Nothobranchius furzeri: one gene and its partners. The protein of the gene in region 1 interacts with the protein of each later gene in a biochemical or structural test. Links are inferred from orthologs where the notes say so. Each region holds a gene or a part of one and is shown in the gene's direction. Other genes may lie near its edges. The genes, in order: bcl2b, fkbp8, ppp2cab, probable nuclear hormone receptor HR38 and badb.

What was found.
Region 2: the proteins of bcl2b (region 1) and fkbp8 form a complex in vitro, tested with the Homo sapiens proteins (4 studies listed by BioGRID, with this or other methods). The link is inferred for Nothobranchius furzeri from reciprocal best matches to the Homo sapiens genes BCL2 and FKBP8.
Region 3: of the proteins of bcl2b (region 1) and ppp2cab, one has a biochemical effect on the other in vitro, tested with the Homo sapiens proteins (2 studies listed by BioGRID, with this or other methods). The link is inferred for Nothobranchius furzeri from reciprocal best matches to the Homo sapiens genes BCL2 and PPP2CA.
Region 4: the proteins of bcl2b (region 1) and probable nuclear hormone receptor HR38 form a complex in vitro, tested with the Homo sapiens proteins (2 studies listed by BioGRID). The link is inferred for Nothobranchius furzeri from reciprocal best matches to the Homo sapiens genes BCL2 and NR4A1.
Region 5: the proteins of bcl2b (region 1) and badb form a complex in vitro, tested with the Homo sapiens proteins (5 studies listed by BioGRID and IntAct, with this or other methods). The link is inferred for Nothobranchius furzeri from reciprocal best matches to the Homo sapiens genes BCL2 and BAD.

Annotation. Positions count from the first base shown.
Region 1 is NC_091751.1:52,829,167-52,834,553, forward strand, and holds the end of bcl2b (apoptosis regulator Bcl-2), read left to right. Parts: intron 1-3,114; coding exon 3,115-3,252; 3' UTR 3,253-3,352; downstream 3,353-5,387. UniProt on the Homo sapiens protein: Suppresses apoptosis in a variety of cell systems including factor-dependent lymphohematopoietic and neural cells. Regulates cell death by controlling the mitochondrial membrane permeability. Appears to function in a feedback loop system with caspases.
Region 2 is NC_091748.1:52,426,569-52,432,889, reverse strand, and holds the start of fkbp8 (peptidyl-prolyl cis-trans isomerase FKBP8), read left to right. Parts: upstream 1-2,789; 5' UTR 2,790-2,921; intron 2,922-3,414; 5' UTR 3,415-3,445; coding exon 3,446-3,671; intron 3,672-3,871; coding exon 3,872-4,041; intron 4,042-4,214; coding exon 4,215-4,303; intron 4,304-4,803; coding exon 4,804-5,024; intron 5,025-5,162; coding exon 5,163-5,335; intron 5,336-5,414; coding exon 5,415-5,492; intron 5,493-6,321. UniProt on the Homo sapiens protein: Constitutively inactive PPiase, which becomes active when bound to calmodulin and calcium. Seems to act as a chaperone for BCL2, targets it to the mitochondria and modulates its phosphorylation state.
Region 3 is NC_091750.1:60,016,152-60,022,556, reverse strand, and holds the start of ppp2cab (serine/threonine-protein phosphatase 2A catalytic subunit alpha isoform), read left to right. Parts: upstream 1-2,884; 5' UTR 2,885-3,039; coding exon 3,040-3,141; intron 3,142-6,405. UniProt on the Homo sapiens protein: Catalytic subunit of protein phosphatase 2A (PP2A), a serine/threonine phosphatase involved in the regulation of a wide variety of enzymes, signal transduction pathways, and cellular events.
Region 4 is NC_091743.1:50,512,425-50,518,674, forward strand, and holds the start of probable nuclear hormone receptor HR38, read left to right. Parts: upstream 1-2,092; 5' UTR 2,093-2,229; intron 2,230-3,523; 5' UTR 3,524-3,525; coding exon 3,526-4,362; intron 4,363-4,730; coding exon 4,731-4,860; intron 4,861-5,047; coding exon 5,048-5,211; intron 5,212-5,313; coding exon 5,314-5,516; intron 5,517-5,606; coding exon 5,607-5,785; intron 5,786-5,865; coding exon 5,866-6,128; 3' UTR 6,129-6,250. UniProt on the Homo sapiens protein: Orphan nuclear receptor. Binds the NGFI-B response element (NBRE) 5'-AAAGGTCA-3'. Binds 9-cis-retinoic acid outside of its ligand-binding (NR LBD) domain.
Region 5 is NC_091754.1:60,853,299-60,859,852, forward strand, and holds the start of badb (BCL2 associated agonist of cell death b), read left to right. Parts: upstream 1-2,800; 5' UTR 2,801-2,824; intron 2,825-6,554. UniProt on the Homo sapiens protein: Promotes cell death. Successfully competes for the binding to Bcl-X(L), Bcl-2 and Bcl-W, thereby affecting the level of heterodimerization of these proteins with BAX. Can reverse the death repressor activity of Bcl-X(L), but not that of Bcl-2.

The DNA of each region.
Region 1 (5,387 bases):
AGAACAATTTCCAGATTTTTCACAAGGCTGGGTTTTATTGAACACTTGTTTAACTCCATAACATGAAATTAAAGTTAATAATATAACTTAGATCACAAAATCTTCAGTTTTACTGAAATTGGTTGAAGTAAAAATTAATACACCCGCAACAAAAACTACTACATCTAGTATTTTGTTTGACCACCGTGATTGTCAAGGACATCACCAAGTCTTCTAGGCACGGAATGAACAAGTTGGCGACATACTGCAACATCTGTCTGTATAGAATAACTTTTTTAGAGCCTGGATGCTGGATGGAGACTGATGCTCAACTTGCTGCTTCAGAATTCCTCACAGGTGTTGGAATGGGTTCAGATCAGGAAACATAGTTAGTCATTCAATCCCCTTCACCTTGTTCTTGTGCAGAAATGCAACAGCAGCTTTAGATGTGTGTTTTGGATCGTTGTCATGTTGGAAAAGTGCACGACGACCAAGTGCACCGAGTGATGGCAGCATCTTCTCCTTCAGTGTAGAGCAGTACGTTGTTGAGTTCATGATACCATCAATGAAATGCAGCTCTCCAACACCAGCAGCACTCATGCAGCCCGCATAAGGACACTGCCACCACCATGCTTCACTGTAGGCACCATGAAATCCTCACCTTCACGACACCATACAGTTTTGATACCATCAGTTCCAAACACAGTGATCTTTGTCTCATCACTCCAGAGTATAGAGTTCCAGTAGTCTTCATCTCTTTCAGCACGGGCTTCTGCAGTGTGTGCCATATGGTGTCACTCCAGTTGGGCTTTCTACAGCTTTAGCTAACTGCAGTGAACTTGCATGGCGATTTTCTTCAACCCTTCTCATCAGAAGATGCTCCTGTCGAGATTTTAACTACTGTGGATGTCCTGGACGTCTCTGTAAAATGGTGGCGCTTCTTAAATTTTTGGATGAACAACACAGACAGACTCTCATCAATGAGCCAGGAACTACATCTCTTATCATTATGGAGGAAAAAATTATTGAAAATTTTTAAGTAGAATTCCGATTTCCCAGCTGGGAACTTAGTTAGCATTTCATGCTCTTCTGCATTTTGCAGGCCCTTTGCCGCACTTTCCATCCTTCTGCAAAAAGGAGGAAAATTATACAGAAAAAATCAAACCTTTCATTTTGCATCTAGTTTTTAACTTAATGGAGGTCATTTACAAATTTGTTTACATCTTTTATTTTTTTACAGTAAGCAGCAAACAGCAGCACGTTACTCAGGAGATGGACTTGAATAACTCTGATTCATATTAATCATTTTTTATTCAGCTTGGGCCGGCCTTAGAAAAGAAAACAGACTGAAAGAACACAATTCCATTGTCGATTGTGCTGACAGCTCAGTTTTGTTTGATGCCAGTTCTTAAAACTGCTGGCACGGCCTCTGGTAATTAAACATACTCAAGAAGAAACCTGTGTGTGTGTGCGTGCGTGCGTGCGTGCGTGCGTGCGTGCGTGCGTGCGTGCGTGCGTGCGTGCGTGTGTGTGTGTGTGTGTGTGTGTGTGTGTGTGTGTGTGTGTGTGTGTGTGTGTTGGCACCAGAGGGTTTAAACATAGGGGAATCTGCTGATCCTTCCTCCCTTGTGTCACCAGACCCCAGCCTCAGGAATGCTGTGGAACGGGATGGGAAACAGGAAATGCTTTTGTCTCTCCGCAGCCCTTCGGTCTCACTTTTTTTTTCTGTGTGGCTTTTTCTTTCACAAAGCAGAAACTGTGAATTAGAAACATGCCTTTTGAACTGCTAAATAATAAACATAAACATAATTCAGTCGAAGTAAAATTTGTATTCCATTTTTTTTATCCCATCAGATAATAGGATCAGAAAATAGGATGATAACAGATTCCCACGAGAACCATCCTCATGAATCAAGGATTCACTGTTGTTCAGACTCAGATCAAATTACAGCTGAGAACAGAGACATCAGAGCAGCTCAGCTATTAATGTGGTCTTCGTCGCCCAAAAAAGGAAAAAAATTCAAAGGGACCTGCTGGTATTTCCTTCAGTAAACCTCTGAATGTTCCCTCATCGTAGTCTGAATAAAGATAAGCTGCTGGTGAGTGTGTGAGGGACTCAGCACTGTTACTTCCTGTCCAGCTGTTCCTGCTGTCACAGCTTGTGAGCATGCGTCTGCACTTCCTGGTCTCAGACATGCAGCTTTGGCATTTGGCACAGATGCTCCTTATGTTCAGTTACTCACAAACTCACTCATCTGCAGCCGCTGCATTCATGTGTGATCATCATTCCTCATCTGTGTGCAGAAAACATGGAAGAAAATTATGATAATTGCAAACATTAATGTTTTTCCTGTGTTTTGTTTGGTTTGGAGTTTGCATTTGAATGTAAAATGTGAGCTAGAAGGGTGTGAGAACTGACAGATAGTAATGGATCTGCCTATGCACACTCTATTTCCACCCATGCTTTGCAACGCCTCAGGGATTTTTATTTTAAAGGAAAGTTCCACTCAAACTGGAAAAAATACAAAAGACAAACCACAGTCTCCCCATTCTATGCAGCCATGCAGGTTTTACCTCCCTAAATAGTGAGAATTTGTTTAATTTAATGCAAAAGAAGTCACCAAAACAGCAAAACTGAAAATGTAAAAACATTTAGGGACCACAAGGGTCAGAGCATCAACCGATGCATCTGTAAAATCCTGTTCTCCTTCAGGAACTCTTAATATTTGCTGTGCGTCGAATCTGAATACAGAAAAACAGCTGTCGAACATTTTCATCATCTATTCTCGTGACGGGGAACAGAGGAGTCATGAATGAGTATCAAATATAAAGCTTACCTTGCCCCATAGTGTAAATGTCCATCTCTTGTAGAGGAAACATTGTTTCCTCCAGCGCCCGCTCCCCCACATCTCAAGCAGAATAAACCCTGCTGCATGAACAGAAAAGATCTGGACTAAACTGTCTGCAAATTCTGCTGAACGCCAGTGTTGGTGTGTGAACACAGATAATGAGTCACAGTCCAGCGCCCTCAAAGCAGACTGACTCGGGCTTCTTTAGGGCCTTTTAAAAGAAGAAATGCATCAAGAGTAGTTTTCTGTGCACTAACTCCTGCGTCTCTCGCCATTCCTCTTTCAGGGTGCGTTTGTGGACCTGTATGACCGACAGAAGGACTCCGTCTTCAGCTGCTACTGGCCGTCCATCAAGACCGTCTTTGGCCTGGCTGCACTCGGGGCGGCCAGCATCACCATCGGAGCGTACCTTGCACAAAAGTGATCGGGCTCCCTTCACTCTATCAGCTATCAACCCCGTTTCGTAACAGCGTGCTCCCTTTTCCTCTCGCCTCCTGTATTTTTATTCTTTTTGTAAAGATGCCCCCCCTGACCCCTCAGAGACAACCTTCAGACTGAATCTGGCTCTCTTCAAAGCCTCTCTGAGAAAATTCCTTTTCCTGCTGCACATTCATGTCAAAACAGACACAAATCAAAGGCAGCAGAGGGAACCAGGGGGCTCAGCCCGAAGAGCAAAGGATGTCTGAGGTGGAATCACACTAAGTTAAGGAGAAACGAGGAGTGCATGTCTATTTTGGGTTCATTTCATCCTGCTTGCTTGTAAAACTAGTTAAAGCATGATTAGTTTAGACTTTTGCATGTGTGGTTCTTTTTTATTTTTATTTGGAGAGCTTGATGGTCGGGGTGCAGGATCAGTGATGCCAGAAAGTAGACCACAGCAGATCCTCCTCTGCTTGTTGGGGTGAAGGATTCCCCCCCCACACACACACACACACACACATACACCCCATTTGAACTGTGGACTCCAGTTACCTCCCTACAGCCATCCTTCAAAGGACTTCCTCTGCAGAACAGCTGCTCAGAATGTATAATGGAAACGGCTCACTACAAGCAGTGCAGAGTGTGTCTCTACTGTTATGGGCTCCTCAGACAGCTCGGGTGAACTCTTTGCACTGTCACACTCTCCTGACCTGTAAAGGAAAACAGGAAGTCTCCGCTTTCTGTAGCAAAGTTTGGAATTTGTCATGCATGTTGATCCGGGTAGAGAGGTTTGCAGAAGAGTTCTCTTAAACTCATCTTTTTTTCGTTTTAAAGCATGCATTTCTCAAGCAGTGTGATGTGGAGAAGGCCACATGCATGCTATAACATTCAAACACAGCTCTGATGATCCACACAACCCCACCCCCTCAAAAAAACTCTGAAAGCTCTTAGAGCTGTTTTCTCTCTGCAGCAGGTAGTTTGAGAGCTGTCCACACACATCCTTCAGAGACTGCGTTGATGTGCACGAAGAAATCCCGGCGCGGCCACATGTGACTGAGTGGGGTTGTGGCGGCGGCAGCATTTCAGTTCAGGACTAAAAAGCCAACTGGAACCTGAGATGTCCCCATCTCCGCCGTCTGCAGGAGCAGCCAGGGATTGATCTGTGCTTCTCAGCTTGTTTTATTGATGTTTGTCTTGTGTTACGGTCTGATGGGAAAAAAAGAAAAAATCGGAAATGCTTGCAGTCTGAAATTTTTTTTTTATTAACCCTCTGGAGGCAGGCATTGCAGATTTGCTACGTTAAAACCTACCGTACCTACCTGGTTACTCCACAAATGTATTTCATGAGCATTTTTTTTTACTCAGAAGTACCCCTGAAGGACTTAGTTGTTTGTTGAGAGGGTTAACAGAGAAGTGAAAAGTACCCCCTCTACACACACACACACACACACACACACACACACACACACACACACACACACACACACACACACACACACACACACACACACACACACACACACACACACACACACAATATTTTTGCTTTTTTTGCATCACAGATAAATGTTTAAGATCTGCAAATACATTTCAATATCAGACAAATATGGAAAGTAAATAGAAATTGTGTTATTGAGGTCAAAGTTCAGTCTCCTTCAGGATTTAACCATGGTTCTGTCAGGTGGGTCAGCAGCCCAGACCATCACACCTCCACATCCATGTTCAACTGTTGGTGGGATGCAAACTTTTGCCTTGAATATTTTCCTTCATGTCTAGGGGATCATCAAGGTCAAGCATGCCCAAAGTGTGGCCCAGGGGCCATTTGTAGCCCTGAGGGTGATTTTTTGTGGCCCCCCTGGCATTTGTAGTAAAAATATTTTATCACCTTTTATGCTTTGAACATGTTTATGTTTCTGTTTTTTTTTCTTTTTTTTTTCTAATATGAGGCTTATTTTTAAATAGTACAAAAAAAGTCATGATTACATTTTTTGTGGCCCTCATCTTGAACAGTTTGGACACTCCTGATTAAGGTGGGTGGTTTTTTTTTAAAGGAGGGGGTGTTTTTGGTCAGCAGAGGTTTAAACGGGTTATTTTCTTGATTTTATTTATAAGAGGAAATGCTGGTTTGGTTTGTGAGAT
Region 2 (6,321 bases), on another chromosome or scaffold:
GGAGGATGGGCCAGAGAGAAGCAAACGCGCTGCTGCGGCGTCCTCGCTCTGCCCTTGACTCGATTCAGTCAAATGTTGCTGTTTGGTTTTGAAAACGTTTTTTTTAAAGAATCATGTGAATAGGTTTTCCAAAGGGCATCTTCTCTCAAAAAAATAGTGCATGTGACCTCAGGTTGCAGTTTTTCATATGAAGGATTTCTATTGATTAACGAAAACTTTTAAAAATGGAAAAAAAAGGAAACATTTTAAATTAAAGAGATCAAAATCTAAAACTTACGAGGAAAAACTATTCACGTGCGTGATAGCATTGTATAGTTTGAAGCTCTCTCACTGATCCTCTCTCAGTCCTCTGTGTATATTGATCGTTGGCCATCTCTGTACTTCTATTGTGATGTATAATACTGTACCATTAGGAAGATTTGCTGGTCGGAGGGGGCGGGGGGTTGTGGTCATTTTGCTTGGGGGGAGGGGGGTTTAAAGGATGGGGATATAAAGGATTCTCCAATCACAGTCCTCTAATGACACGGCAGTATTCAATATGAAGCAGTCTGTCTCTTGGGTTTGCTTTGTATCTCATGGTAGGATAGTCGAGAATCTTGTCTTAGGGATTTAGCTGTCTTGTGTAGGTAATAAAGATGTTCTTTGTATGTTTCTTTTTATTGTAAAGTTCTTTTAGACTGAAAGAAAAACAGACAATTTGCTTATAAAAAAGAAACGATGCATCAATAATAAATGTCATTTGATTTTTTTTTTCCCTCTTGTTTGAATTTCTTTGTTTTCCTCACAGCAAGAAAGGTGGGAATTGATGCCGGAACTGATGACAAGGTACTATTCTGGAAGAAAACATTTGATGAAAACCAAATAATCACAAGTGTAGACATGATTTAAAAAAATGCAAATGTAAGCAAATTGGATATATTTGTACCTTTTTAAATCTGCTATTTATGACAGGTCTATGTGTCATTAAGTTTGCTGTTTGAAAATATCTAAAGTAATGGGTTTTTGGAAAATAATAATAAATATATGTGAATATTTCAAATTGTAATTTTCCACACGATAAACAAAAGGTCAGAGATGTTGCTTTAACACTAAATAATTACAGAATCAGGACTGCACCCAACTAGTAAATATTTAAGTGAAACCATGAAATTTCCTGAATTTTATAAACATACCTAAAAGGTAAGCATTAATATTGCTTATATTTGCAAAAAAAAATGGTTTCACTATATGATGTGTAGCTGATTGTTTTTCTAATTATTACTGTCCAACAATTATTCTACAGAAATGAAGCGTGATTTTGTAGACAGGTGGAAAAAAGCACATGCTCATAAATCAACCTACTACTACTATAGAAAAACATGGTTGTCCTGCTTCAGTAAAAAAGGCACTGAATGTCTTTTAAAAACCTGTGTAATCCTTTAATGCAATTTTGGAGGGTTTCAGAAGAAACTGACCCAGAAGCACAAATACCATAAATAATGTTATGTCAACCTAATAAATCCATGCATAAATTATTTTAAAATATTTTAGAAGTGGCTACAATCTTTCTTTTAAGTTTACTGAAACATGTGGCAGCCTAAAGGTGAAACTAATAGAAGCCAAAGATTCAGTTCACGCTGTCAAATGTTTTCAACTATAGAGAAAGGCAATTGGGATTTTGGCGTTGACGCGGGTTTTGAAATTTCATGTTGCAGAGCATGATTAAAAACGTGTCCATATGCTTTGAGAATATTTTATTAACATAATCAAATTGGACAAAATAATGTTACATTTATTTAACATTTACTGCTGGAAATTAACCCGGGCTAAAATAATGCATATTTACCTACATGAAATATGTAAATGTTCATTAGTATGCAATGTCCCTTTACAAATAACAAAAATTCAGTCATCTATTCTTCTTCTTCTTTTTCTTCTTCTTCTAATTATTATTATTATTATTATTATTATTATTATTATTATTATTATTATTATTATTATTATTATTATTATTATTATTATCTACTTTTACCTTTTTAATTAAGGAAAATTACTAGAAACTCCAAACTGCTGTCGTTTCCATGTTAGTGAGGTAAAATATTAACTTGCACCAAGGGGGAGCTCAAGGTTAACAGGAAGCACAGGGCTGAAGTTCGCTTGCTGCTGAACATATCAACACGCGTACTTTTTTTTTATTTTTTGGGTCCTCCGCCTCACAACGACGTGATGGGAATTCCGGCTCTTTTTAGAGAGCCGGTCTTTTTGGCTCAGCTCACCAAAAAGAGCCGGCTCTTTCGGCTCCCAAGTGGCTCCTCACATTTTCTGTTGCGTAGAGTATATTTATAACCAAAAAAAATGCTAAAATATATGTAACATGATTTACTAATGTAAAAAATTGCAATATATAAACTATTTATCATTTGAATGGATTTAATAACTGAACACTTTAAGAAATCTCCACTTTCTGACTGCTGGCGCTCATTTTCTCACCGTCTTTGCCGCACTCTCTCTCTCTCTCTCTCTCTCTCTCTCTCTCTCTCTCTCTCTCTCTCTCTCTCTCTCTCTCTCTCTCTCTCTCTCTCTCTCTCTCTCTCTCTCTCTCTCTCGCCTTTTTCCTCCTCCTCATTCCCTCTCGTCTCCCTCCACCCGCATGTGCTCTGCTGTGTGTCTGAGTCTGATCCTCCCTCTTCCCCGCCCCTACTGCTCTGTGTGTGGACAGTCTGGACACGCAGTTACACATGTTGACCAATTGCCTGTGGCGTTCACCAAAGCAAAAGGGGAGGGGACGGCTCCCAATGACGAGCCGGCTCCCGTCGTTCACTTCAAAGAGCCGGCTCTTAGAGCCAGTTCGTTCACTACCGACACATCAGTACAACGTTGAACTGACTTCACTTTGAGTTTAACGAAGGGACAGCTCAGGACCGAAACAAGCCCACTTGGAGGTTTGTTGTACTTTATTTCGATTAACGCATATACACTTTGACCCACTCTCACTGCATTGACGTGATAAACCCAATGGTTTATCGTATAATAGAGTAAAAACTCGTTATTATCGTTTAGTACCTGTATTGCTTAACCGGCTAATGCTACTTGCATTAGCAGTAGCATGCTAGCCGCTTGGGCATTTAGCTGGAGGAAAACTTGTTAAAACTTCTTGCTAGATTTGTCAGGGCACAACAGTTAACAGGTAGCGTAATAATTAAATTTGCGAAATGTTGCCACATTGTTTGCTAAAATTAAAAATAATAAATAGACGTTAAAGGAGGTGTTGGGTAAACAGTTGTGTAGCTATCATCATGTGACCTATCACAGTGTTTAACGTCGACTTGCACATAGTTGAAGGCTTTTTTTCCTCACTAGGATTCAGCACATACACAGTTTTACTTTTCACAGAAAGTGAATCACTTCAAGCTGTTTTCTGTTTTCCTTAATCAGGTGATGTGCTGAGGACTGAACACGTTTGAGAATGGAGTCTTCAGCTGGACCTCCTGCTGCTAAGAAGCATGGACAAACCTCGTTGCTGGACAGCGGGGAGGACTTTGAGGTGTTGTGTGATGAAGACATTTATGACGACCTTCCTCCTCTGGAAGATGCCGGGGGTGGAAACAGTAAAAAAACAGAAGATGCAGAAAAGAAAAGGGTTGAAGATCCAGAACCTTCTGGCAACATTGATGAATGGCTAGATGTTTTAGGTATGAGGGAAATGTGACAAAACCAGACACATTCTTACAGACAACATGCTAATAGTTTGCATTTGTATGTTGTTTGTATGTTTTCCAAATATTTAGTGGCATTCACAGCAGAAGCTAGAATTCCATTACTGTATAGTTATGAACATTTAATGGTTCCGTTATATGTAACCAATTTTATAAACAGATCTATCTGCTGTTAGGTAACGACCAGCTGAAGAAAAAGGTCCTTGAAGCAGGGAAGGGACGTGACAGTCGGCCTCACAAAGGACAGGTCGTAAAGATCCATCTTAAAACACACTTGATGGATGGTACACTTGCACAGGAGCTATGTGATCTCGCTTTCACTCTGGGAGATGGTGATGTCATCCAGGTAAAGAAAAAGAAAAACTCAGATGATTGGTTGAATAGGTTTTTAATAATATATATATATATATATATATATATATATATATATATATATATATATATATATATATATGTGTGTGTGTGTGTGTTAAATTTGCATGTAAGTCATTAAAGCAAAAAACACTTTAATCTATTTAGGCACTGGATCTGACAGTGCAGCTTATGGAAATTGGAGAGAAAGCACTCATCCAGACAGATGCAAAATACGCATACGGTGTCCGAGGAAGGTAGGAAACATTTTGAAATGCTCCTGAACAGTCTGCCACGTTAGGGCCATTATATCTAGTGTTATTAGTTCAAAATGTAGACATGACTTTCACGTCACAGTTTTCAAACCAGAGATGTTTTGAGGAAATATTAAAGAATTGGACATTGCAGGAGAGAGATGCTCACAGTTGTCCCCGACAGCTGATTGTTGAATTAATGCTTAATGAGTCTGGGATGTTTGTGGTTTCTTCAAAGATTAGAAGTTTTATTAAGCCAACACTTAAAACAATGGTGTGGTGAGGAAGATCAAGCCTGTGGATAATAACAATATCGGTTCATATTTGCTCTGAAGCTATGCCTTTAAAGCTATATTTACCAGTGTGTCTCCTCCTAACACTGTGCTCAGTAAATGTGCCTGCATTTGGTTGCTGAAAAAGAAGGAAACATGACAGTAATATCTGTGAACTGTCTCCTACGGCTGGTGTCCCTGACTCTGTCTCCTGCGTCCTTCACTTCCTAGTCTTGATCCTGACATTCCGCCAAATGCTGAGCTTTCCTTAGAGGTGGAGCTGTTGGAGGCTACAGATGCACCTGACTTGGAGCTGCTTCCTCCCTCGGAGAAAATAGCCCTGGCTGTTCAGAAGAGGGAGAGGGGGAATGTTCACTACCAACGTGGGGATTATGCTTTTGCAGTCAACTCATATGGCGTTGCCCTGCAGATTACTGATTCTTGTTCCAAAGGTAAGAAGCATGTGCAGGAGTCAGGCAAAGCTTTATATTTCCTTCTAAAAGAAAAGATATTAACAAGATACTAACAGTTGATTTTTCTTATTTTGATACATAAGGACTCTTAACTGTTTATCATGTTTCCTTGAGCAGTTGACATCAGCCCCGAGGAGGAGAACGAGCTGTTGGATGTCAAAGTAAAGTGTCTAAACAACATGGCTGCTTCTCAGCTGAAGCTGGACCACTATGACGCAGCACTGAAGTCTTGTGTTTCAGCACTTGAACATCAACCAGAGAATATTAAAGCACTTTTTCGAATGGGCAAGGTGCTCTTTGCTCTGATTCTTTCATGTTGTGTTTCTCAGACTCCTCTAACCTGTTGCCTGCTGTGTGTTTCTGCTTTAGGTTCTGGCTCTGCAGGCTGAATACACAGAAGCCATTCAAACTTTACGGAAGGCTCTGAAGCTGGAACCAAGCAACAAGGTACATTTGGCCTTTTATAAAACGTCTGGTAAACTACACTCACTGGCCACTTTATTGTGTACACCTTGCTAGTACCAGGTCCCTTTTGCCTTCAGAACTGCCTTAATCCTTCGTGGTATAGATTCAACAAGGTACTGGAAACATTCCTCAGAGGTTTTGGTCCATATTGACCTGACAGCATCACACAGTTGCTGCAGATTTGTCGGCTGCACATCCATGATGCGAATCTCCTGTTCCACATCCCAAAGGTGCTCTATTGGATTAAGATTGGTGACTGGAGGCCATTTAAGTACAGTGAAATCATTGTCATGTTCAAACAATCAGTCTGAGATGATTGGAGCTTTATGACATGGTGCATTATCCTGCTGGAAGATGGGTATACTGTGGTCATAAAGGGATGGACATGGTCAGCAACAGTACTCATGTGGGCTGTGGCATTGCAACGATGATCAGTTAGTACTAAGAGGCCCAAAGTGTGCCAAGAAAATGTCCTCCACACCATTACACCACCTCCACCTGAACCGTTGATACATGGCAGGATGGATCCATGCTTTCATGTTGCTGACGCGAAATTCTGATCCTACTTTCCGATAGGGATGTACCGATGAAACGGCATTTGATCCCAATCGGCCGATAGCGCCCCTATCGGTTTTGATCGGACTTTTCAAAATAGATCAAAGCAGACCGCTCAGGTAGGGTTGTCACGGTAACCAGTGTAAACCCCGGTAGAAAAAGTTGACAATAATAATAACCGTCTTGTTTTAAAAAAAACTATATTATCTCGGTGGGTTACCGTGGCTGCGGTGTAGGCGCGGTGACCCTTACCAGC
Region 3 (6,405 bases), on another chromosome or scaffold:
AGATTGTTATATTGTTAGAGAATGTGTTGTAAAGAACAATGTTGGAGATGTGCACTGATGTTCAAATAAACCTACATTGTAAAGCAACTCTTTCTTGCACTGAATTACAAGGCTTTAACGAGTAGTGTGCTTTTGTAGACTATACATATAAAGTTCTAACATGATTTTAATAATAATTCGTTAAGTGGGCCGGTCTGGGGTCTGAAACTCCAGGGCTGAAAATGTGTCCCACTCCGGCCCTGCACTCAGCTGTTTCCGATTTGTAGACGAATTTCATTATCAGACAGAAATAACCTGAGTAAAAACAAAAGGCGGTTTTCAAATGAAGATTAAAGCTTTCCAAACCAAATGAGCTAAATCATGATTTAACTGTGATTAATATTTGAAATGCTGACCGTAGTTTCAATTGCAACAAAAAGGCCCGGTTACTGCCAGACCTATAGAATTAAGAAATCATTTAGTAGGCTGATGAGGTTTTCCGGGCACATCCATCCAGGAGGAGGACTAAAGGTAGACCCAGGACACGTTGGAGGGACTATGTCTCTCACATGGCCAGGGAACGCCTTGGGGTTCCCCCGGAAGAGCTAGCCCAAGTGGCTGGGGAGAGGGAAGTCTGAGCCTCTCGACTTAGGCTACTACCCCTGTGACCCGACTCTGGATAAGCGGATGAAGATGGATGGATGGATGGATGGATGGATGGATGGATGGATGGATGGATGGATGGATGATGGATGGACGATCTCAAGAAGAAATACATGCCAAAGTTAAACAAAAAGAAAAAGGACAATATTGAACAAAAATACCTTTTCTTTATTTTCTTACGATTCCTTCATCAATTGTCCAGTGCCCATGATGTGGTGAGAGTCCCTTAACCCGCAGAGCAAAACCAAAGAAAATACAGTTTTGTTTTGTTTTGTACTTGAATTTCCGTCTTTGCAGCCTCAGCCAAATATTAGAAATTCGAAGGGGGGTGATTGACGTTATTGTGAATATTAAAAAGAGAATTTGTTGATTTTGTATTTTGTCCTTTCCTCTTAGCTGGCCACATGCTGACCACATAAATAAACATGGACATATCAGAGAAGGATGTAAGAAGTCAAGAAAATTCAATGTTTTTTTTTCTAGGAAATATTGTTTGATTTGATTTTTTAAGTCAGTGTCACGTAAAAAAAATCACTGAAAATGAACAAATAAAATGTTAAAACCGCATAATTTTAAAAACATAAAAAAATGCTCTAAAACAATTTATCACACAAATATAATGATTGATATGGCAAAAATAAATGCATTTTATTTGTTTTTTTATCTGACCATAATGCTTAAAGTATAGTTAGAAATGTATAAGTTATGCCTGTAATTTGTAAAACAAAAGCAAGTGCAAAGAAACTGCATGTAAATCAGAAGAATGTTTTAATCTTATGTTTACAGCACCATGACCACGCCCCTTTCATCTAATGTGGACTGCATCGCCTGATGCAACAGATATTTCGAGAGTATTCCAGAAACACAATGGTGCCATCATCTGAGTAGTTTTGTTAAATGTCATTTAGCAGATACAACAAAGTACATTTAGAATGTAAACACAAATCCATGTAACTCGGTTTACAGATGTGGCCGTTTTTCTGTTGGACTGTTTTGTGTGTTTGTCACTACCTGAAGCACGTGGACACAGTGTAAAGCTTAATTTTTATATTGTTTACGCAGCCCAAATAAAAGGACATCATACACAACATACTGAATTCATATCGTAATTCGAGTGAGCAGCGGTGACGTATTCCCTAAAACGAGTTGTAACTTGTTCTTTGATGAATGAGGAGCCAATGAAATTGCAGAGGAAGCTGCTTTGTGAACCAATCACTGAGCTGCTATCATCGGCTCGCCCTGCTGTACGTGAAGTTGGACGTAAACCTAGACCGGAAATGTAAGATTTTATTTGGAGAATAAAGGTTTAATACAAAAGGGAACATTAAAATGAAATAAAAGCTATTGTATGTCCCCAAATTACTCTAAGTAAGAAACAATGGGTTATCTTTTTTCTCAGCTAATCTTTAAAAAAGGTATATTACAGATTCATAATTGGTATATAGCAACTTTTGCATAATTAAGAAGAAGAAAGGTTGTTTTATATAGAGCCTTTATAGCTAAAAATCACAAGGCACTTCACAAGCTCTATAAAAATGTAATTGAAAAAAATATATACACATATATTTTTCTTTATATATAAAGAAATTTAAAATTAAAATAAAAAACAATATTATTAGACAACCACAACTCTGATTCACTGTTCTGTCCTGCTAAAAGACATAAATAAATAAATACAAGCTATGTCATTGTCATGTTTACACTGGAAAGATCTGTTGCATCGGGTGATGAAAAGGCGTTGTGACTGTAATGTTAACATGAGATTTTAAAGCTAATTTTAAAAATCATTCTTCTATTTTGCTCTTTTTCATGTTTTATAAATCACAAATTTCTAACCACTTTAAGGATTAACATATTGTTTACAACTAAAGTAGATGTTTACAATGATAAACTAAGAGTTATTATGCAAGACTGTGTACAAATTTCAGTTTGAATTGAAAAGACTTTAAATTTTCTGACAATTATCTAAAAATGCTTTACTGACACATATCCTGCCATCTTCTCTGCTTTTAAGATACATTTTGAAGCAATTTGAAAAACAGAACAGTCTTTTTAAAAACTCATTTGGTTGTTATGTAGCTTATTTTAAATTTGAATTCACAGTAACGACGTGGTGCTTTTATTTAGAAAGTCTTAACCGGAACTGCTTTGTATAACAACAAACGACTTGATACAAGTGAATCGCCGGCTGGCGCTTCTCCCTCTTCTTCAGTTGTTCCCTTCAGTCAAATCGTAGCGATCTGGAAGTGGATGCATCTGCTCGCTGAGGGTCCTTTAGCCTCTGCTCTGCCCGGCTTGTAAACTCAAAAGAGTAGGGTCTCAAAAAACGGGTAGCAGAGGCGGGTTTTTAACCAAACTACACGCCGCTTCGGTAAGGAAACACAAAAAAAAACAGCAATGGACGAAAAGGCGTTCACGAAAGATCTGGACCAGTGGATTGAGCAGCTGAACGAATGCAAACAGCTATCCGAAGGACAAGTGAAGGCGCTATGTGAAAAGGTGAGATGGAAATAAATTGTTATAAAAAAAACTAACATTGTCTGCAACAGCTATCGTCGTTCAGACATTTTTAAAATGGCGTCGATAGTGTAGATTTCATAGTGAGGTGCGTTTTTTCATAACTTTAGGCTAGGCTACATTAATTACAGCCGCCTGTTTGGATCGTTGCTAGCTTAATTCCAGTCACACAGCATATTTACATCCCTCCTCATCCTATAGACAGCATCCGCGTCAGTTACTGAACCCTGGGAGTAACTCAGCCTTAATGGATAAAATATGTTTAAAAACAATATTTTTATCAGTGCCGCACAAACATGAACTCGATAATTAATTTTATTTTTTTTTCCAGAGGATGTGAAGTTATCCTGTTGGCATGATCTGTTTACATGTTTTTTTATTTATACTTTCATTGAGACAGTCTTGTCTCATTAAAATTAAACGGTACACTATTTTTGGGCAGAAACTAGAGCCTAAAAATAGGTTTAAATTGATCTCACGGGCCTCTGGGATCTATTATTTTAGTCTGACAAATCAATTCAAGCATCTTTATGTGGTTGTTTTTGTGCTCACAGAAGCTCCAAGACTGACGTTTGACCTTTCAGCCACTTCACTGGTGTTTATTTATTTAAGCCAGTTTCTTTGTGATAAGTAAAGGAAAAATTAGATGTAAGATTTCTGCATTGGCTAAATCCAAGTCCAAAAGTCCAACACTGATTCCTGCAGTTTAAAGCCATCCATCCTAAAAAACCTTTGCAGATTTCCAGATCTAAATGATGACCTGATGGGCTAGTGGGAAAATATCAGCAATGATCTTTAATCAGATTCTCTAATAATGCTTTTGTGTTATTATGTTGATCTGTTTTTTGTTCATGTGATAAAACATGCAGGGTTCCAGAATATACCGACAGAAGGCTACGTTTGGATGGGCTTTATTTATCTTTTTACCTGCATCTAGTCTCGAGCAGATCATAAATATCAACATTTTTTTTCTAGATCAGCTGTAATGTTTGCTTCCTGTAGTTTTAAAAATGTCCCCGTTGCACCGTGGGCCAAGACCTCAGTCTCCATGGGTCTGGCCTCAGCTGTGACTCAAATTACTGCTTTGTTTTGTCTCCGTCCGCCAAAAGAGATGAGGTGTTTTGGTTTCATTTATTTTTTATCTTAAAGTGATCGGTTTCATTTAGTCCTTAAAACAACAGAAATGGAGGATATGTTTGGTTTAATGACAACCATGAGGTCAGTTGAACCCCCCCCCCCACTTCATCCACCCCTCCATCTTTTCTCCTGTGCACTTTTGCTAAAATTTCCAGCAAAACACCCACACAACATCCTCCTCACTTTAAAAATAGCAGAGGATGTGATTGATTGTGAGTTGCATCACCAGCAGCACCATCAAAGCTTTGTTGCTACGGAGATCAGACTGTGAGACTGAGGACAGCAGTGTGTTGTGACTCAGAGAGCCAGCCATCTCTGTTATGGGATGTGTGTGTGAAGGAAAGTGATGTGCTATGTAATCACTTCTCAGTCATTTTCTTCCTTTCCAGCTTTCTCAGCAAAAACTGCTGCAGTTTCTTCCAGTAGGTGGCTAAATAATGAAGTTTTATAGTTCAGTCAGCTCTTGGTGGCCTGAATATATCTGGAAAATTAAAAGATTAGTGAATCAATTGGTTAATTACATAGAGAAAATGTGTTGTTCCCCTCTTGGCGATCTTTTTTCTCGGTTAAAATAAAATTAGTTGTCATAAATAAGCTCTTTATTTTTGCCTCACGTAACAAAATGCAAAATTCAGATTTCTGTCCCTATTTGAGTGCAACAATCATGTGGCATCACATAAGGTCAGACAGTGATGTAATGTGTCGATGGTCGCCCTACCTAGAGTACCTCTGCGGGACCCGTTTCAAGACAGAAGCAGTAAGAAAAGCCGTCTGTAGGGCGGCTAAAGCAGTTTAACCTTTAACCACAGTCATCATGTGTGACATCATCATTTCTGGTTGCAGTTTCTCCTCATCATCGGGTGTTATCGCTCCAAGTTGTTGTGTGGAAACACTTTGCTCGTTTTAATGGGATTGCTCTTACTCAGAAAACGCTGACTTGGTTTCTCTGTGCTTGCGCGGTTTGTTGACTGACGTCGTTTTGGGCAGAGCTGGAATTTGGCAGGGCGTGCCTCGTCCTCGCCGCTCTGGCAGGTGTGGTTGGAACTTTAGACGAGGTGTTTACGTAATGGCTGTTGGTATTTTTTCTACACCTGGATTGACATCATCATCATCATCATCATCATCTCTCGTAGATGATGAAGAGATTGAAGAAGAAGGTCACATCTTCATCCAGCTTTATGTAATCTCTGATTAGAGCTTAATCCTGTGCGGTGTTTTATTTATTATTATTATTATTTTTGTGTTGATTGTTATTGCGTTATGTCATCCTAACAATCTAATTTTGAGAAGGATGACTGGTTTCATTTAGTTTTTAGGCGATTGCCTTTGTGTTTTTTAAAGCTGCTGAGTCATCAGGCTTTTGGTTTAAAATGTAACCCAAATAAGCTCGAGGGGAGTGATCGATGGAGTTGTGCCATTGCGACCACCAGCAGCTTCAGCTGCACCCAGGGGTCCAGTTCGACAGGGATTTCTTAGTTTAGCAGCGATTATAAAATTTACACAGAAACGAGCTTCGAAAACATCCCCAAAGTCCTTATTTTTTGAGTACATGTATCGTTTCTGCTCTTTTTGAACATCACCTGATTTCTCCGTAAGCTGAAACGACCCGAGGGTTTCCAGCAGGTGTTGATGGACGAGTTTGGCTCAGAACCTGATACGTTGGACTTAATTAAAGCTCGTCTTCATGACTACGGCAGCGTCAAAGATCCCTTTCTAATGTTCCATTTCGTGCTGACGGCATCATGAGCCATGACACCGACGTGAACTCGTAGACGTAGATATGTCTACGGTTTGACTAGGATGAGGAACCCAGACAGATCCACTTTATCTCCTGTCGCCTCATCCATTCAAAGATGGGTCCTGTGTGTTTGTGTTCCACTTTCATCCAGACACCTAGAATATTCTTCTCTGGCTTAGTGCCTCTGTTTGCTTTAGAGATTTGTGGCTCAGTGTGGCCCCCGAAGCCTCCTGCCGCACGCCGGTCGGGACACGTGGAGTTTGGATGCAATGTAGGTCAACGTTGTGCAACGCTGCAGCGCCATCCTGGCCCGTCTGGGTTTCTATCCCATCAGCTGGCCACCAGCCAAGGAACACACTCGTTCTCTGGTT
Region 4 (6,250 bases), on another chromosome or scaffold:
GTACTACGAAAACACTGCGCGTTTTAAAATCCCAAAGTCGGTAAACTACGATGTTAACCTTAAAAACAATACATAAACCAAAACGATCACATTGATCTTCTGAAACACACAAAAGGGGTTTAAAACAAAGCATAAGGCCTGGAGAACAGCAAAACCCCTAGAATGCTGGATGGCACAGCCTTTTCTCCCAGATGTTGTTCATTAGTGGGACTCAGGTCAGCTGTGCTCATCAGCAGCCGGGAGGAGAGGAGGAAGAGGGGCGGAGTCTGGGCTGATCACCAGGGCTGGGTGATCCTGGCTCCTGGATCTGAAGAGGCCAGGCTGGTGGTCCTAACAGTGTCAAATGTTCATCATGCAGGTGCACATTTTACACTAAACCAATTCACTTTCAGGAGACTGTAATCAAAGTATGTCTGGCTACACTTGTTACAACATGATCCTTTCTTAACCATGTGATAGAGCTAATTAAACGCTGCAATGTTGTGAATGTGAATCTGCACTTCCTCACATATGCAATGAGTGTTCTAGTGTGACGGAAAGTGAAAAGGAGATTGGATGTCCTGTTTGATACACATACGCATGCTTTAAAGAGCGTTAGGCTCAAACCTCTGTAATAGTCTCTTGTAACTTCAGGCTGCCTGGGCAGATCGCAGCTCTCAGCTAAAAGAAACACCGCTTCCTTTCTTTACCCTTTTGGCCCGCGTACAAAAGGGTCTCCTGAGAGGCTTCAGGACATGTTAGTTTGTCTGGTTGTTTTGGAAATGTTATGACATAATGGGTATTAGGTGAAGCTTAAACTGATGCTGACAAATGAATGTCAGCAGCTGAAGTGGTGACATCCATACTGGGGATTCTCTAATGATGACATTTCAGCACCGATGGCATCTCCCATCTCCAGATGGGTGTAGTCGTCATATTCTGAGAGACAGAGAAGAGATCTTAGTTTCTAGTAGGCTACATTTCATGACATGACTTCTCGGTCATTTTAAAGCCCCTTAACCTTTTCTTATTCTGGTAGAGCTGCGTGTAAGTAGACCGGATCACATGGGCTAACAATTGTGGAAGTCATAACCCACTACCAGACTCAATCAATAGTGAAGTAAATGTGATGGCTTTCACTCAGCAGTAACTTCACTCTAGCAGCAACAGTAATACCATACTTCTATGAGCAAAGATGCTCTTATAGAAAGAGATGGGAATAAAAATTTAAATGAAACAACGTCTTTATTTGTTGCATTGCATTAGCATTGCAATGCATGTCTTAGCTGCAACACACACACACACACACACACACACACACACACACACACACACACACCTATAATCTACTGTACTAAAGAGAAAGCATTTATTAATTGAATTTTTTTTTGTGATTTGGAAAATATTTAGACATATAACCATTGTAAAACGTGTTCCTATATTCCAGCAAATGTGCAGCTAAGGACCTTGTTGGATGTGCGCCATGATAAATATTTCTCCAGTACTGACTGATATTCATTTTTACAATACGCCATCCTGCTTAAAATGTCTTACATTAATGTAATCAAGATGTTTCCTATCATTTGGGGTCATTATAAAAGATGAGGAAGACTATTTTTAGAAAAGATAATGGCACAAAACACACACGTGTGTGTGTGTGTGTGTGTGTGTGTGTGTGTGTGTTCATATTGCTTTGGTTATATCTGTCTTTCTCTCTAAAATGCGATAAAAGACATCAAACTTAGAAAACTACCCCAAAACGTTGATTTTCCTGCTCAGTCCTCTGATAACACGCCAAACTGTCTAAAACGTGCATTAAGATTTACATTTCCATTCACAAAAACGTCTGTAACTGAAAAATTGAGCTATTTTTAGCCTTTATCATTCAATAATAGCCCCACGTGAACGCCTGTGGTTATTTTTAGAATAACGTACATTCTCGGCTCCTGCGTCAATGGAATCCCGAGCGTGCGTCAGACGGAATAACGTCTAAGCGTCACGCGTTCACCTGATTGGCTGCTAATCCGGAACGTTTCACCATGTTTGGGCATAGGCCCGCCCTTTTTGTTGACGAGGTCATAATAAAACAAGAGTGTGTGAAGCCGTCTGCGTTGGTCTGACCCAGTGAGTGTGTGTGGATGTGTTTGAGTGGGTGTGTGTGCCGAAAGCAGCTGGAGGAGCTGAATTCATCCGTTTCTCTGCTTTGGAATTAATTAAAAACTTCAAGATTCGGATTTTCTCATGCAACAGGTGAGTTACAGTCAGTTGTCTGAGACAGGAGAGGTGTAGTGTTACAGATGTTTATTCCGGCAATCAAACGCAACACAAACCTGAAACACCAAGGTATTCTAAGTTATTGTTGAAACTGTTTAATATAGAAGGGATGTGTAAATAGTGGTGTCATTTCCAAGGCTAAAGCTATAGGTTTAGCTGAAAGTTTATTCATTGAAATGTAATAAAAAGGCTACTCACCAGTCAGTGAAGCAAATAATTGTATTTAAGCAACAATAAGACTGTCTTGGGGTTAAGGCTGGTTCTTTATTCATGTCCATCTCAACTGTATGTGTGCATTTGCCAAAATTATGCCAGTTGCCAAATACAGAAGTATTTGTAAAGGCACAATCTTCATATGTTATTCAGATTCTCTTCTTAGTGTAGTTTGGATTGATGTGGTATAAAAATAAGTACTTATCTTAGCTTATCTTTCAGAATTTGTTGCGTTAACAGTCACTTACCCTTAAAAAGGTAAAAACAAACACCATACTGCTGCTGTTAGCTTTAGTTATGGTGTTTTAATGTGACTTCTATAGTAGAGAAAATAGGTTTGGGCTGGATAAGACACGTGGAGCATGTCATTTACTAAATGTAAAAGCAAAAAAATATTTATCACATTAAGAAAACTTTATTTTGATAACAGAGTTAAAGTTTTATTCTGAAAGCGACAGATTTTTATCGGTTGTGCTTCACTTGTGAAATGTTGAAGTGAGCACACAAGTGGATACACACCCCTCCACACACACACACACACACACACACACACACACACACGTGCTTCATCACCCTTGCCATTGCAGCTGGCATTCATCCAACCCTGAAACACAATCTGAAGCACACTGTGGCACAGCCGCTGTGGAAGAGGGTTGTCCTCCACTGAAGGAGGTTTTCAAAGCATTAACAGCCAGTAACACAATATCTGACAATATCTGAGCGCTCCACTGGACCACCCTCTGCATTTTCCAACCAGGACCGACGGGGCCTGAAGCGAGAGAAATGGCATGCGGGGTGAAATGAGACCGAGCACATTCAGGGTGCTAACATTGGCCACTGTTTGCATGGTTACAGAGGAAGAAACCGTTTTATTTATTGTGACAAGAAAGTCATAACCTTAAATGTCATGTAGAAATTTGTCAGGTTGCATCAAATTGAAATTACATTTTTTTTAAAGAAGCATGGATTAACTTTCCTTTTATAATGCATCTGTCCTTGTTTATTACTGCAGTAATATTTGACCTGCATGGTTAATTTCTTCAACTCTCTTTTTCAGCAATGCCCTGTGTACAAACCCAGCTTGCATCTCTGCCCCACGACAACTACTTCAGCTCTGAGCTCTTGAATCCAGACCTCAGTGCCACACTGGTGATGGAAATCACTGGCCAGAAGGACCAGTTTTCCACATCGTCCCTGCCCAGCATCAACACCCTTGTTGGAAATGGTTACACCAGGGAGTTTGATGCTTACACCTGCAAGATCACCACCTCCCCTCCCACCTCTGCTGTGTCTTTCAGCCACGCTGCAGCAGCTGAGAGCTCCAGCACACAGATGCAGAACCAAGCCTTCAAGCTGGACGACCTCCAGGTGTACGGCTGCTACCCAGGATCTTTCGCTCTCAGCTGTCTAGAAGAAACACTCTCGTCATGTGGCTCTGACTACTATGGAAGCCCCATCTATGGAACTGCTTCTCCTCCAACGTCAGGCTTTCAAACAGAGTCTGCACCTGTCTGGGATTCCCCTTTCAGCCCCTTTCCCCCGGCCCTCCAGACCTCTGTGGATAAGAACAGCATGGCTCAGCAGCAACTCTCATTTTTTACAGTCAACCCTGCACAGGATCAATATTCTCCTTTGGGACAGCACCAGGATGCCCCCAGTGGACAAGATGATCCGTTCTTCCTGTCATCTCAGCAGCATTTACCCCCAGTTCATTGCCCCTCCATGTCTATGGAACAGGGACCACAGGAAAGCCCCAGAATATTAGAAGGGGCCATGATGTCTCCTAAAAGCACAGGCTTAGGATCCAGCGAGGGTCGCTGTGCAGTTTGTGGTGATAACGCATCCTGTCAGCACTATGGAGTCCGCACTTGTGAGGGATGCAAAGGATTCTTCAAGGTAAAAAAAAAAATGTAGATTTACATTTTAAAGGGAAAAGTAGAACATTTCTATTAAATCCAACTGAAATTAGCACTAAATCATAATTATATCATCATGCATCTTTAAAAGTCTGTACTAATATTATATATATGTAGATATTTTCACTTCTTCAATATCTTTATTGATCCAAACCTAAAAAAAGAATCAGGTATTGTTTGAAATTGAATGTTTAGTTACTATTTGATGAGGAAGTATTCACAGATGTAGGTTAAAACATAGCAAAAGCTTTTGCTTTTAAAAAAAGAGCTTAAAGGTCAGATTTGTGTTTATTGTCTCAGGGTTATTATGCATCGTTGTGCATTCAACTCTTTTTCTCTGTTTTCCAGCGAACTGTCCAGAAAAATGCAAAGTACGTGTGCCTTACCAATAAAGACTGCCCAGTGGACAAGAGGAGGAGAAACCGATGCCAGTTCTGTCGTTTCCAGAAATGTCTTGCTGTGGGAATGGTCAAAGAAGGTGAGCAAATCTTAAAGCATTCAAGAGTTTGTGTTTGATGACAACAGACTCAGGATGTCAGGACAGTGATGGGAAACCAATATTTAGCAGCAAACCTGATTTTTACTGTCTAGTTGGGCAAAAAGTGGACTGAAACTGGTACAGAGGTAGTTTAATTAATGTTCACACAATTATGTTGGTATCCTAGTTGTTCGTACAGACAGCCTGAAAGGTCGCAGAGGTCGCCTGCCCTCCAAACCCAAAACTGTGACCGAGGCTTCCTCCACCACTCCCAGTGTGAACGTCATAGCTTCTCTTGTCAAGGCTCACTTAGACTCCGAGCCAAGCAACGAGAAGCTCGACTTCTCCAAGGTGAGCTCGCAGTCTGCTGTACTCGATGTTGGTTCGACCGGTCCAGCGATGAAGGGCCAAAGCTGTGAAGCGTCGTTAACTCTTCTTGGTTTTTCTTCACAGTTCCAGGAGAAAATTAATCATTTGAAAGAAAAAGAGGATGCCGGTGATATCCAGCAGTTCTACGAGCTGCTGACCGGTGCCTTGGACATAATATGGAGCTGGGCTCAAGCTATCCCAGGATTCACAGATTTCTGCATGGAGGACCAGGAGCTGCTCCTTGAGTCTGCTTTTGTGGAGCTCTTCATCCTTCGCCTGGCCTACAGGTTCGCAAGAATAGTTAAAAAAGAGTATTTACCTGCAATAGTGTGCACCTTTACGCACTATGATGACTCTAATGGTTCCTAACTGTTCAGGTCAAAACCAGAGGAGGACAAGCTGATCTTCTGCAATGGCGCCGTCCTGCACAGAAAGCAGTGTGTCCACAGCTTTGGTGGCTGGATCGACTCCATCATGGAGTTTTCTTCTAGTCTTCATCGCATGAACTTGGACGTCTCCCTGTTTGCGTGTCTTTCAGCACTTGTCATCATCACCGGTAAGGAGCTTTATTCATTTTCTTAGTTTTTTTGTTTTTTTGTGATGTTTGTATTTACGTTTCTGATCTTTGGCACGCAGACCGCCATGGCCTCAAAGAGTCCAGACGAGTGGAGGACTTTCAGAGTAATCTCATTACTTCTCTGCGGGAACACATGTGTGGGAGTGGATCAGAACCAAGCCGGACACACCCCAACTATATTTCCCGTCTACTGAGCAAACTCCCCGAGCTGAGGACTCTGTGCACTCAGGGACGGCAGCGCATCTTCTACTTGAAACTGGAGGACCTGGTCCCTCCTCCACCGATAGTGGAGAAAATTTTTATGGATTCGCTGCCATTCTGAACACAAAGCGACCTGTGACATTTAAACGTGTTTATGATGAACTCTAACCAGCCAGAAAGCACACAGACTTTTGGACTGATGCGTCTTCTGAGACATCTACTGAAAAAAACGTTGTTTTTATT
Region 5 (6,554 bases), on another chromosome or scaffold:
TTTGCTTATCCGATGGCGCCATCTAGTGGCTGACAAGCATATCACACAAATAATCTCGGATCGTTTTTTTAAGAAGGCGATTTCACGTTTCTAGTCATAAATGTCCTCCTGTAGCCGACAGAGCTAAAACATGTTGTTTTACAAGTATTATTCTCGTGTCATGTTGTGTTCTCATATGTTTATATTTTAGAGACTTACTTGTCCGTGAAAAGTTCATCAACTCTGCATCCGCCGAGGTTTTCCTTACATTTGAAGCATGTAAGCGGTAGTCTAACGCTATTGGTTAGTTCTGGTCGGCGCTCAGTTTCCCATTGCACGGAGCTCTGCGGGGCAGGGGGCATGCGTAGCAAAAAAAAAAAAATATATATATATATATATATATATATATATATATATATATATATATATATAAAGGACGTATTGCTTATATTATAGCACAGTACATAATGAGACAATCACTTTGACGGATTTCTGAAAGATTATACATAATTTCTGAAAGGGGAAAACTCGGGAAAGCTATTTTAATGATGACATTTTTGTTACCATTTGTTAAAAATCAGTAAATGTGTTTTGTCCTCAAGGGCTCCCATAGAAGAAAACATGGCATCGCCCAGTGACTTGGACCCGCTCCCATATAATTTAGACCAGATTTTTATGGTTATATGTTACCAAGCCACCAATATTTTTCAACAACTGGGCATCATTTAATTCCCCTTCAACAATATTTTGATCGATATTTCCAGAGATTGATGACAAAAACTACACATTGTCACTTTAAGGTACAAGAAATCTACTAAAACTGACCCCACTCGTCCCAGCTTTAAGAAAAAAATAATCTCTGTTTTTCCAAACTGAGGTTGTTCTAAGAGCCATCAGAAACCAACTTCAAAGGATTCAAACTCCTCCCCTAACCCTTTCACACCAATAACAAAAAGGCTTTTGTATGTTATGTATTTGGGGACATGATAGAATGTTTAACTTTTCATTCCAGCATCTCCATCTGCTCTTCAGTTATTATTAGTACAAGAGTAAAACATGTCCTACCAAGTGTTTGACCTGCCTGAATGCGGACGACCATCATTTGGTCTCTCGCATCAGCGCTCAGAACCGCCTGCCAACCAATCAGAACGCAGAACGAGATCACAGCGCAACACCAGCTGGGTATCAGAAAGGTGGTGTGTTTCCTCTCAGCTCTGAGTGAAAATCATAAAAAATGAAACGCAGGATGTGTGACGTCTGTACAGGCGCACGGAAAAACGGTTGGATCCTCTGGTGTCTCCATCGGTAGATGCAGCTCAGAGAACATTAATAACAAATGTGTATTTCAGACAAACTCTCAGACTCGGCTGTTGGGTAAAAGCTTGTCTTATTTATGATCTCCAACTCTTGTTCTGCTCAGAAATACAAACTGCAGCGTGCACACACCGTGCACGGTGTGTGCACGCACCATGCACATGCTTGAATCCGGTGTGTCAGTTGGATAAAGCCTGGAGAAAACAGCTGCACGGAAAATGGTCCTAAAGAGCAATTCATCACCAGCATCTCCAGTGTTTTCTTTCCCACTCTGGAAAGGAGCTCTGACCTTCTACACTTACACACACACACACACACACACACACACACACACACACACACACACACACACACACACACACACACACAGTGTTAGCACATGACCTTTGGGTTTAAAATGCCTGCATGTTTGCCGATGATTTGAGCTGATAAGATGCTGAACACTTGAAGACGTGCACTAATACATCGTAGTGAAATGAGTTCCTGCACCTTGTTCCCGTGGCGACAGCCATCCATCACAGCCTTGCTGTTATTAGTTTTATGTAGGTGTGGATTGTTCTGCTGATGTTACATCATCTCCTCAGTTTTGCTGACCAAAGTTTTCATTATATCCATCCATCCATTTTCTGAACCCACTTTGTCCACGTAGGGTCGCGGGGGGCTGGTGCCTATCTCCAGCGGTCAATGGGCAATCAGGCGGGGTACACCCTGGACAGAGAGCCAGTCCATCGCAGAGTTTTCATTATAGTTTAATAGAAATACGCTTCGGTACTTTCAAACTTTCCTGTTGTTTTTGTGTGAAATCGCTGAAACAGGAACTCACTGTGAAGCTCTACAGTCAGATTTAACGCCTCCTTATTCTTGGTTATGAATTTAGAATTTGAACGCACCCAAAAACAGACAAAAATATCATTAATTGAGCAGAAATAACGACGCCATTGGCCAGCAAACGGGTGGTGAACTAGTTCAGACAGTGGCCCAGATACAAGGAACAGAGAAAGGATGGAGAGATGAGAGGTGGAAGTGAAACCGTGAGAAAGGGGGGAAGAGAGCGGGGTGATGGGTGGGAATGGTGACCTTAGTGATGACATAAGTTAACCACAGAGGAAGCACTGAAAATGTGAACTTCCTCTTGATGGAAAAACCAAATTGTGTTTGTGAAGTTGTTCCTCTTCTCATCACTGTCCCACCTAAAGTGTAGAAGAGGATGGATAACCTACGTTTCTCGTGAGAGGTGGAGAGGAAACAGCAGCGTTAGCAGGGCCATGACAGATTTATAGTAAATTATGTGCAGCGATGCAGTGAGATTAGCAGCTTTAGACCATCATCCAGTCCTGCCCTGTTCAAGATGGCCGCCACAGTCAACAGAACAAGATGAAAATGCTTCTAACTCAGAGGATTCCACAGATATTGAGTCATTTTTCTGTGTGTGAGAGTCATTCACATCACACACTCCAAGCTCTGACATCGAGCATCAAGTCATTTTGGAGATTTGACCGAAACTCCATCAGATGATCAGAATGCATCAAAGGTTTGTTTCGGTGTTCAGAGTTCGTGTGTCTTTGGGTTATTTTGTTCTCGTGTTTTCTGCTTCTTCTCCCTGAGGTTTCCTCGGGTCGTCTCCGGCTTCTGCTTCCTTCTGTGGGTTCTGAGACCGTTGCTGGTACCCAGGCGCTTACATGATCGCTCTGGTTAGCTTCTTCACTTCCCGCCTCCTGCTTACAGGTCCGACATCCTCATCACTAAAGCGTTCAGGATGACTCATCACTTCGACTACATTCCTAACTAGGAACCAGTTTTACAGAACAGTCATGGAATGTAATGAAGTACAATTACTTTGCATTGTACTTGGATACTCCCACTTTTACTTAAGTAACTATAAGTAGTTCATTACTGTACTTAAGTACATTTTTTCTGTATCTGTACTTCATGTAACTAATTTTATTGAGGCCTACTTTTTACTTTGCTTTGTCCGACCCCCACCTGTACTCTACTACCACGCCGTACTGGAGTTGCAAAGGTAATTTTATTAGCCCCTCCCCCTTGGTTCCACAGAACACTTCTACACACACACCACACACGGTAAATGGTAAATGGCCTGTATTTGTGTAGCGCCTTTAGGGTTCTACAACCCCCCAAGGCTCTTCACAACACAATCAGTCATTCACACATCCATACGCTGGTGGGGATGAGCTACAGTGTAGCCACAGCTGCCCTGGGGCTCTCTGACAGAGGTGAGGCTGACAACCACTGACCACCACCAGCAGGCACGGTGCGTTAAGTGTCTTGCCCAAGGACACAACAGCAGCATTCTCTGGTCGGAGCCGGGATCGAACCTGCAACCTTCCAATTAGAACCTGCTCTACCTCCTGAGCTAGTGCTGTTGCTTATTTAAAGCTTCTTTCCGGAGTGTTTCTCTTATCCGATGGCACCATCTAGTGGCTGACGAGCGTATCACACAAAAACGCCATTCCTTTGTTTTATTTAAGATGGCGACTTCACGTTTCTGTTCATAAATGTGCTTCTGTAGCCGACAAACGGAGCTAAAACACGTTGTTTTACGAGTATTATTCTCATGTCGTGTGTTTTCATATATTTATATTTTAGAGACTTGCTTGTCGATGAAAAGTTCATCAACTCTGCGTCAGCCGAGGTATTCCTTAAATGTGAAGCGTCTAAGCGGTAGTCTAACGCTATTGGTTAGTTCTGGTCGGTGCTCGGTTTCCTATTGCACAGAGGCAGGGGGCGTGCTTAGCAAAGAAAAAAAAGATGTATTGCTTATATTTGATCACAGTACATGATAAGATAATCACTTTTACGGATTTCTGACAAATCATACATCGTTTCTGAAAGAGGAAAACTCCGGAAAGCAGCTTTAACTGTTAGATGAAGACTTTTGCTTTTCTACTTTTGAGTACTTTTGAAAGTGCATACTTTAATACTTTTACTTAAATCATTATCTTCTTGGATACTTCCACTTTTCCATAGGTTATTTTCTTCACCTGTTCATCTGCACTTTTACTCAAGTAAAAAAAAAATCAAGTACTCCTCCCATTACTGGTGCAGGTAGAATAAAACTCCTTTTAAAAACATTACTTTCATTTGCATTTCCTACTTAATTTTTATTGGACAAACATCGACTTTCAATAGTAAAATACTAATTTAGCTTTACATACTTGCCTTTCTTTTATTAGGCTACATTGCACAGATAGTCTCTTCTATAATGACGTTACTACTACTACTACTACTATTATTATTATTATTGGTTTTATTATTATTATTATTATTATTTAAAAAAAAATTTTATTATTATTATTATAAATATTATTATTAATATTATTTTATTGTTATTATTATTATTATTAAATTCTTATTATTGTTATTATATATTTTTTGTATATTTGTATGCTTTCACTGAAGTGCCAGAATCAATCCATGCTTCTAAGGCAGTTTCAGGGTTAGTTTATGGAAAGCGTCCTTCTGATGATGTGGGCACTTCCGAGAAGAACAATCTTCTGGATTTCTTGGACTGTTGGGTTTCCAGGAATCTGTTTTGTTCTCTTTTCCAGTCCCTTCTTGATGAGGCCAAGTGCACCCACTACGACGGGTATTGTTGCTGTCTTCATCCCCCACATTCTTGTGACTTCTATTTCCAGATCCTTGTACTTTGATAGCTTTTCAAGCTCCTTGGTGGTGACATTTTTTTCAGATGGGATGGTCATATCAATCATGAGGCAGGTCTTCTCTTCTTTGTTTTTGATGACTATGTCTGGTCTGTTGGCCATGATTTCTCTGTCTGTGTTGATTGGCATGTCCCACAACACTGCGATGTTGTTGTTTTCAGTCACTGTTGGTGGTTGGTGTTCATACCACTTATCTGCAGCTGGTAGATGGAAATGTTTGCAAATCTTCCAGTGGATATAGCTTGCTGCCCTGTCATGTCTGTGGATGTACTCAGTTCTGGCTAGAGTGGGGCAGCCTGAGACAATGTGGTCAATGGTTTCTTCATATTGGCTGCACATTCTACACATGGGGTCTGTTCCGTCTTTAATGATCTTGTGGTGGTATGATCTCGTTGACAGGCTCTGGTCTTGTGCTGCTATCAACAATCCTTCAGTTTCTGCCTTCAGTCCTGCACTGCGTAGCCACTGATGAGTATGATCTTGTTCTACATCTGCTTTTTTTACTCTCAAGGGGTATTGTCCATGCATTGGTTTTTCCTCCCATGTTTCTCTCATCCTTTTTTGTGCCCATTTCTTTGCCTCCCTTCTGGTCCTCTTGGCAAAGCTTGTCACTGTTTCTTTCTCTATTCTTGCCACCTCTGGGATGTTTAGTTCCTGTGCATATCTTATAGCTTCTTTTGTAACAGAGTAGAGCTTCTTTCGAGCTTCATGTTGACAAACGAGGATCAGTAGGGCATCGTCTGTTGTTTCAAGGTAGGTTTTCAATGCCATTGTTGTTGTTTTGTAAGCCATCTCAAGTTGTGTAAGTCCTCTGCCTCCAATCTGTCTTGGTAGATACATTCTTTCAACATCCGCTTTTGGGTGGTGCATTCTTTCAGAAGTCAGCAATTTTCTGGTCTTGGTGTCTAGTTTCTTTACTTCTTTAAGTTGCCAGTTGATGATATTAAAACTGTATGTAACCGTTGGAACAGCTAAAATGTTGATGGCTTTGATCTTATTTGCAGCATTGAGTTCACTCTTGATAACAAGCCTAACTCTTCTGTAGTACTCTTTTTTTACTTTTTCTTTCATGGTAGCATGTTGTATTCCATCTCCTTCATTAACCCCAAGATATTTGTATGTATCCTCTTGATTGAGCTCCATTATGACAGTCTCTTGGTCCAATTGTATGTTTGATGTTGATGTGAGTTTTCCTTTTTTGAATGTAACCTTTGCACATTTGTCAAGTCCAAATTGCATGCAGATGTCATCACTGAAGAGCTTGACTATTTGCAGTAGTCCCTCTTGTTGGTTATCATTTTTGGCATAGGTCTTCAGATCATCCATGTAAAAAGGTGGTTGATCTTCTTGCCTTGAACCTCATAGCCATGTTCACTGTTGTTTAGCATGGTGCTGAGTGGGGCTAGACATAGACAGAAAAGGAGAGGTGATAGTGAGTCTCCTTGAAAGATACCACACCTCACTTTTATTGGTCTTGTCTTGATGGATCTTTCGTCATAAGTGAGCATCATAGTGGTCCTCCATGATTCCATACTTGTCTTCATGAAGGTAATGAGAGTTGGTGAGATTCTATGAAGT